Linked DNA regions of Kluyveromyces lactis. The protein of the gene in region 3 purifies or fractionates together with the protein of the main gene of each other region. This does not show direct contact. Links are inferred from orthologs where the notes say so. Each region holds a gene or a part of one and is shown on either strand. Other genes may lie near its edges. The genes, in order: COX13, RIP1 and RCF2.

Region 1 (2,381 bases), about 270 kb from region 3:
TAGCTTCAAGTGTGCTCCGGATATATTCTGGATATATGTTGTATATACGCTGTACCAGCGTATCACTTTTCGTTTTCCCCTTATTTTTTGTTCGGTTAACAATGGGGAACAATGTAAAGTTAAAGTTTTTGGAACGTAAAGTCAGTTTGTATTCATCATTCGTGAAAAAAAAGTAAGTATTGAGTTACTAAAGACGTTTGCCATAACGCTGAGCATATCGAAGTTGATGTACTGCTTGTCACAGATTCAGTACAATAGATATTGATAATGAAGAAACTTATATCTACTTATGATCATTGACACAGTGTGACGTGTTTTATTCTATTTTTCTAGGACTGAATTTACAATAAAGATAAAAAGTGTGTTTATTCTTCTTGAGTTAAATAATAATTATTTGTATGGTGGAAACTCCACTATAAAGTTTATCCATATGTTTGTTGTATTTTGAAGTATAATGCCAGATTAAACGGATGTTTGAATTCTTTTGAAGATAATTTGAGGATATTTGATAAAAGGTGTTTTAAAAGATAAAAAAACCCACAGGCAGGGGCTATCTTGATATTTCATTATGAATGGCCAAAGCCCAACAAGTTGAGATCATTTATCGAACTGTGTTTAATCGTGAGAGACGTGTCTGTTAATGACTGGGTTCCAGAACAAAGTCTTGTCACCGTCACCCCAGAAGAAAGGCTTTTGTCTTAAGTTTTGGAATTCGTAGTCTCTTGGCCATTCTTCATCTGGAACGTGCTTCAAATGTTCACGGTGCTCAGCGTGTTCAGCTTCAACGAAGTAGGTGTTGACAGCGGTCAGAGCAATAGCTGGAGCAGCAACAAATATGGAGATCTTAACCCACAAGTTAGAGGTTTGCTTAGCGTGCTCAGTACTGTGCTTCATGTAGTCCTTGTAAGCTTGGGCAGCAGCCAAATCTGGCTTACCGAAAGCTGGTTCCAAAGCATACTTTGGTAGAGTAGAAGCTCTTCTAATGGCTTGTTTGAACATTTTTGATTATATCTAGGGTCTGGCTTTTCGAAACAGAATATCCTTATGGAATTAATTCACCAAACACAGTTGACGTTAAATAGATATCAAACTCGAAATGAATGTAAAATGAATTGTAAACAGTAAGAAAACTAATCACAAAAATCTCTTTTAAAAAAGTACTTTGACTTACCAATAAAACCTTTTCTATTATGGAAAGAGTAGCTTTAATAACTTGAACTTTCCTAACTATTAAACAATTTTTTTTTTCCTACCTCCAAAATTTTCTAGCATCAACACAATCTCTCTCGCGATATTTCCATATCCCACTCCATATAAAAAACCAAAAATGGCACGACGGAGAAACTAGACAAAGATCATGCTTTTTCGATGTTGTAATTTCGGTATCACATTACACGGTATGAAAATGATTGGTTGCTGGTCACGAGAGACTTAAGTTCTGGTAATGGACACTGAGCATAAAAGGTTCCTATTCCTTGTTTAAATGGTGTTGCTGTCTCGCCGGGACTACAAACCCACAAGTAGCTCATACGATACCGTTCACACTGGCAACAGATTCAGAAGTACTTCCTACTTTATTTTCTGTTTCTGTTGCATCTCTTTATACATATTGACAAACAGTGTAATATTGACGTTCAGGAATTCAAGTCCGGGTAACAATATTTGTTTCACGGCCTGGCGGTAATTGATTTTGGGTTTTTAGCAAACCTGAGCCATCGCATGTCATTCTAGTAGCTGCTGCAGGGACTTGCCGGCTGGGGTTGGTGTAGTGGACAGAAACACCGTTCCTAATATATAGAATGCTAGATTAAGCTGAGAGCTTGTTGCATTGAATTCAAAAAACAAGCGCGTTGGCTAATAGAACGCCCGTAGGATCAGCCATGGTTATGGAAATCAAAAGATTGCCTATTGCTGCTTAAGTGTAGCACGAACTTGTGGGTAATGTAACGTTTGTAATTACAAGGGCGTATGACATAAATTAAAAAAAAGAAGAAAAGTAAGAAGGAACACATACAGACTCCTAATGGATACTGTGTATCGACAAATAAAAGCTAGGACATTTGAAGTAAAGAGAGTATTACATCTTTAGTTTGTCTTTGAATTCTTTGATTTTTCCATGAATCTTTCGTATTTCCTTTTCACATCCACTTCATGGATAGATGAGCCTGTCACTTGATTTCCTATCGTGAACCATCCAGGACGGATGTTATGGTCCCTACCGAAAATTTCAAGTTTACGGGCATGTGTACCGACAAGTCTTTCAATGATTCCATACAATTCGTCCGGCTTTCTACTGGTTTCTCTAGTTGCGCTAATGATCAAGTCAATGTCTATTTTTCTGTTTAGCCATTCCGGATTGCCTTTGACCCCGACGAGTAAAT
Region 2 (2,547 bases), on a different chromosome or scaffold from region 3:
CATTAAGCGATTCAGATTGTAGGTATAACCATGCATCGGGTAGAGCAGGACTATTTCAAAGATTTTGGAATATAATAAAAGGGTTTCAATCACGGTAGTAGCCTGATGTGGTCATTCAGGTATTAATGCGATTGTTTCTCAGTGCAGTTAAAAGGAAAAGTGATGACATACAATTGAACAATGCTTCAAAAGCATTTCATGCTTGCTATCCTTTTAGTTTGCTTGAGCTATGGGGGCACGGGTAGTTGTGGTTTCAAAAATGTTTGTATGAATAAATAATAATAAATCGGGTAGTGATGATGGAACGTGAAAAAACGAGCTTACACGATTCCAATATGACAAACTTTAGCATAAAAGATATTGACCTTGGTTGTGAATCCTACTTGGAAAATACATGGGGGGAGTAGGAGACATCAACATGGGAATAAAGAATTTTATTAGTGAAAGCTGGAGTGAGAAGGACAAAGAGAAAGAGAAAAAGGAAGAGAGTTAAATTTGAGAAATAGCAAAAAAAGGTAGCCTATTTCAACAATTTATCAACATAATATAATCTTTTTTTAGCTTTCCTTCTGCGCTTAACCGACAATCAAGTTTTCACCATCGAATTCATATTGAGGGATTTCCAAGTTCAATGGAGCTGGACCCTTTCTGATTCTACCGGAGATATCGTAATGGGAACCGTGACATGGACAGAACCAACCACCGAAATCACCAGATTCACCGATAGGAACACAACCCAAATGAGTACAGATACCCAACATGACTAACCATTCTGGCTTTTGAACTCTGTCAGAATCAGTTTGAGGATCCTTCAAAGCTGACATATCAACACTGTTAGCTTCTTGAATCTCATGGTCGGTTCTGTGTCTGATGAAAACTGGCTTACCTTGCCATTTCACAACGACATTTTTACCTTCTGGAATAGCAGCCAAGTTGACTTCGACCTTAGCCATAGCCAAAACATCTGCAGATGCAGACATAGAAGCGATGAAAGTTTCAACGGTGGATTTGGCACCGGCAGAGGACAACAAACCTAAAGAACCAACCATAAAGTAAGCATAAGAACGACCTTTGTCAGCATCGTTATTCTCCTTGATATAGTCTCCGAAATCTGGAGTTCTGTAAGTAGACTTGGCAGCAACTGCAGAAGTAGAAATTAATCTGGCTGGAGCAACAGACTTCAAACCAGTCTTCAAACCGTTTCTTAAACCCAACATTTTTGATATTAGTTAGTTATGGATATATCGCTAGAGTGTATTATTCGTACTAATTTCCCGTTCTTATTTCGGAGAAATCGTTTCTATGATATCGACTTTAATCACAACAGCAAAGCACTCTCGGAGTATCAATAAATATATACACAGATATGAATCACCAAGCCAGATTATAAAATATATATATCAATGCAAAAATGTTGTTGGAACTGAAAGTAATAATAAAATGATTGTACTAAATCTTTTTCTATTTTATTTTATTCAGAGAAATTATCAAATTATCTCTATCCATATTAAACAGAAGCCATTGCAGCTTAATAAGTGCGGAAGGAAGCAAAAAAAAAAAAAACAAAGAAAAATTTCAGATTGGGAAAAAAGCCAATAGTAAGAAGCGCTAAAGGATTAAACAAGATATAATTCGACCAGACAGGAATGGACAGTGTAAATGAGCTGGGACGAGGCAGAACTTCCTGGTGTGGTTATTATTTTCCAATTTACAAGTATACAATTTTATTTGCGTAAATGGTCAAGTATAGGAAGATTTTCTTGGTGGAAATGATAACTGACACTAGGGCCTTTGGGCCTAGTGTCAGTAAAACGCTTCGCATTTAACGGCTTTCACATAGTAGCTGTAAGTGTCCATTTCCTTGTGTTTTCTGGTTATTCAAGGGAAGCAGGTTTTTCTGTAAAGCCTGGTTCACGATATGATTGGTTCGTTTGTAGTGATTATATTAATGTATGTTTGTTGCTGACATTATTTAAACCCATAACCCTCATACATTTCGAGGGCAGTCACCAATCGCAGAAGAAGAGTATCACGTGACTCATATTCGTACAAGCAGAGTTCGTTGAAACAGGTATGGGCAGTGGGCAACTGATCATGTGATCCGGACGTTGTGCGGGTTACCTTGAACGGAAGCGTCGCAAGTCCCGTCACTGGAACTCTGTCACTCCCAGTCACGAAATGGAGAAATTGACGTTGCTGTTCATGGGATAATTGTGGTAGTATTTCCCATAGCCATTCCACTACCGGGGTTTGGTTATGGAATCCGCCTTGGTATTTCGTCACAGCGCGAAGTTGTTCGAAATCCATGTCTTGTTCTATGCTGCCACAGATGAGCCTTTCTACTTCACAACTTTTGAACATCGGGAAAGCCAAACCATCCCCGATGACTCTTGTAAACCCGGATTGGAATGCACTAAAACTCGATGAGACCCCCTCATTCATATAAAAATTTACCCACCTTTCAACAAACTCTGTCTTATTCTCCGAGGTTACTGGGATTGATTCTCCTCCGTCACATAACGGTTTCGTGACGTTGATACCACTGGC
Region 3 (2,542 bases):
ACGATCCATGAAAAAAATAAAAAAAAATGACGTATCAGTGTTCGCTTATTAACTAGTTGAAAAAAATCTTCAATAGTCTAATATGCGTTCATTTTACAAGTATTTCAGTAGAGACTCAAGCTAGTATACATATCGGTTACGTCAAAACAGAGTGATGTACAAAACTCTGCTGGCCATATTCAAAGCAAAGGCTTTCCACATATTAAGCTCTTTTTCTTAAGAGTAGAAACCTGAAAAATAGTATTTCGGCGATTTCTCAAAATGGTAATCACTCTCCCTTGTATTAAAAGGTCAGGCTAATGAACGCAACACTGCACTAATTGCAATGGATATTATCCGAACGATCCGATGCCTTAGGTCCAAAACTGAAGCTTTTCGAAGATCCTGTAACTCTATTGGATGAATCTGGTAGGTTCCAGCTGTTAGGGTTAGTCGATGCATATTCTCTGCTCTTCCTTTTTTTTTAAACATGTGTGACTGACCAATCATATCACAGGAAACTTTGTGTCAAGGAAATGTGGAGCCACAACCGTGGCAAATTCCGACCGGCTTCTTCTCAGGTAACAACTACTAAAACCACTATCTCCGTATGCACGCGCAAATCCTTCTGAGTAGGACAGTTCGTTCGGCTGGTCCCACTTAGGTATTAGCTTCGCTAAAGTATGGATTGATTTTGAACATCAGTGTAATGAACATAGTCACTTTCTAATTGACGGAGTTATTTTCAGACAAAAACTTGTCTGACCTTTGGAAGAAATTTCAATCGAATGGTTCATTGATACGTTGATAGCAATGAACAGGTTACGCTGAGCCTGTTCATGGGCTGGCAACAAGAACGAGAGATATAGGGTTTGGCTAACTGCCAAAATTACGTAACATCAGTAGCAGTGCCTCATGGACAATCATAAATCCTAAATCGTATACGATATTGCAGGAAAAAGAAATAAAGGAACAAAGAATATTTATCATACGGGAAGGAAAAAAGTAAAAAAGTAAAATCGAACCAAAATTAAAGTATAATTGGAACAAAGGCAGGGAGGGAATTTAAAAGTATCGTATATAAGGAAGAGCATTCTCTCGGTTTATTCGTTTACAGAATCATTTCAAATTATATATATATATATCGTTTGACAGTTAAAATTTGTTAATGCTTATCCTCTTGGCTAAAATAAATATCGGGATATATTAGGATTTTGTTCCAGTATTAATTCGATATTTATCACCTTATTTAAACTAAGGGAATCAAAAGTTAGCTTAAGAGATAAGTAACTGAAAGACGAAAAAACCAGCACAGCAAGATGAAGATTTTAACAAGAGAAGAAATTGATGCTCATCGTCACTACACCCTGATGGGTGGTGTTAAAGGTGCAGCTGCAGGTCTGTTAATTTCTGCAGCTATGTTCAGGTTTTTACCCCATCGTTATCCTAAATTCAATCCAAAGGCTATGACATGGTCTGTCAAGACTGCTTTATTCATCACGCCTCCAACTCTTTTGGCTTCTATTGTCGCTGAAGAATCTTCTAACAGTTTTGATAAGAAAATGTATGGTGACTCTTCGTCCAGTGATATTCTTGCTGAACATAACAGATGGAAGAACCTGCCTATGAGCGAAAAATTGGTCGAAGGTTTGTCCAACAATAAGTACAAGATCATTGTTGGTGCATGGGCTGCTTCCTTGTATGGATCCTGGAAATTGGTTGATAGGGACTTATACATGACCAAAGCCCAAAAGGCTGTGCAGGCAAGAATGTATGCTCAAGGTATAACTGTGATTTTGTTACTAGCCTCAATTGGTTTATCTATGTACGAGGAAAAGCTACATCCAGATCAAAAGAAGGAGGCTAGAGACCGTCGTTGGCAAGCGGCTTTGGAGCATGCTGAGAAGGAAGAAGAGATGGCTGCAACCGCTGGTTACAGAAGTAACGAAGACAGAGTTAAGGCCAAGATTTTTAAATATGATTGAATTTTTGAAGAATTCAATCTAGCTGAGGTGAAATACGATATTGCCTTCACACTACAAGGCGTACAATTCTATTTTCACCCTCATCACATCCTTCTTGTGAATAATTTTGACCCATATACTATTAACTGTTTTTTTTTTACAGCACTGCCTTGTACGAAATGAAATGAAGCAGATCTAACGTACCAAATCTACCTTTCATGGTGAGTTATTTTGTCTCACATTATTCTATGTCATGACAAGTTAATAAAAGAAGATCTATTTTTTATCATTGATTATTGTAACAGTTTCATTGCATCGTGGCGCAACCATCCACGAGATCAAAAATGCGGGCGTGCTGCCTTACCTGTTATGGTTGTTTTTTAATGTCAGCTTATTTCAATTTTTTTTCAATAGAGACGGCTGGTACGGCTTTCATAACATTATACCACTACTTTTTTGAACCAATCAAGAACCTTCATAAATTATCAAAAATGCGGACCAAAATTGCTTGTAATCTTTTCATTTCTAATAGAGCAACTTGCTCACTCAATGCAGCTTTGTTTTAGATAGAGCGTACAAATCCTTTCTTATGCTTATCC

What was found.
Region 1: the proteins of RCF2 (region 3) and COX13 purify together in Saccharomyces cerevisiae (affinity purification with mass spectrometry; 3 studies listed by BioGRID, with this or other methods). This does not show direct contact. The link is inferred for Kluyveromyces lactis from reciprocal best matches to the Saccharomyces cerevisiae genes RCF2 and COX13.
Region 2: the proteins of RCF2 (region 3) and RIP1 purify together in Saccharomyces cerevisiae (affinity purification with western blotting; 5 studies listed by BioGRID, with this or other methods). This does not show direct contact. The link is inferred for Kluyveromyces lactis from reciprocal best matches to the Saccharomyces cerevisiae genes RCF2 and RIP1.

The regions. Positions count from the first base shown.
Region 1 is NC_006042.1:844,086-846,466, forward strand, and holds COX13 (cytochrome c oxidase subunit VIa), read right to left. Parts: upstream 1,000-2,381; coding exon 616-999; downstream 1-615. Other genes in the region: IME4 (mRNA (N6-adenosine)-methyltransferase), read right to left, coding at 2,086-2,381. UniProt on the Saccharomyces cerevisiae protein: Component of the cytochrome c oxidase, the last enzyme in the mitochondrial electron transport chain which drives oxidative phosphorylation.
Region 2 is NC_006041.1:2,012,842-2,015,388, reverse strand, and holds RIP1 (ubiquinol--cytochrome-c reductase catalytic subunit RIP1), read right to left. Parts: upstream 1,218-2,547; coding exon 576-1,217; downstream 1-575. Other genes in the region: putative E3 ubiquitin-protein ligase HUL4, read right to left, coding at 1,969-2,547. UniProt on the Saccharomyces cerevisiae protein: Component of the ubiquinol-cytochrome c oxidoreductase, a multisubunit transmembrane complex that is part of the mitochondrial electron transport chain which drives oxidative phosphorylation.
Region 3 is NC_006042.1:573,843-576,384, reverse strand, and holds RCF2 (Rcf2p), read left to right. Parts: upstream 1-1,298; coding exon 1,299-1,964; downstream 1,965-2,542. UniProt on the Saccharomyces cerevisiae protein: Assembly factor that plays a role in the assembly of the respiratory chain supercomplexes (SCs) composed of ubiquinol-cytochrome c oxidoreductase (cytochrome b-c1 complex, complex III, CIII) and cytochrome c oxidase (complex IV, CIV).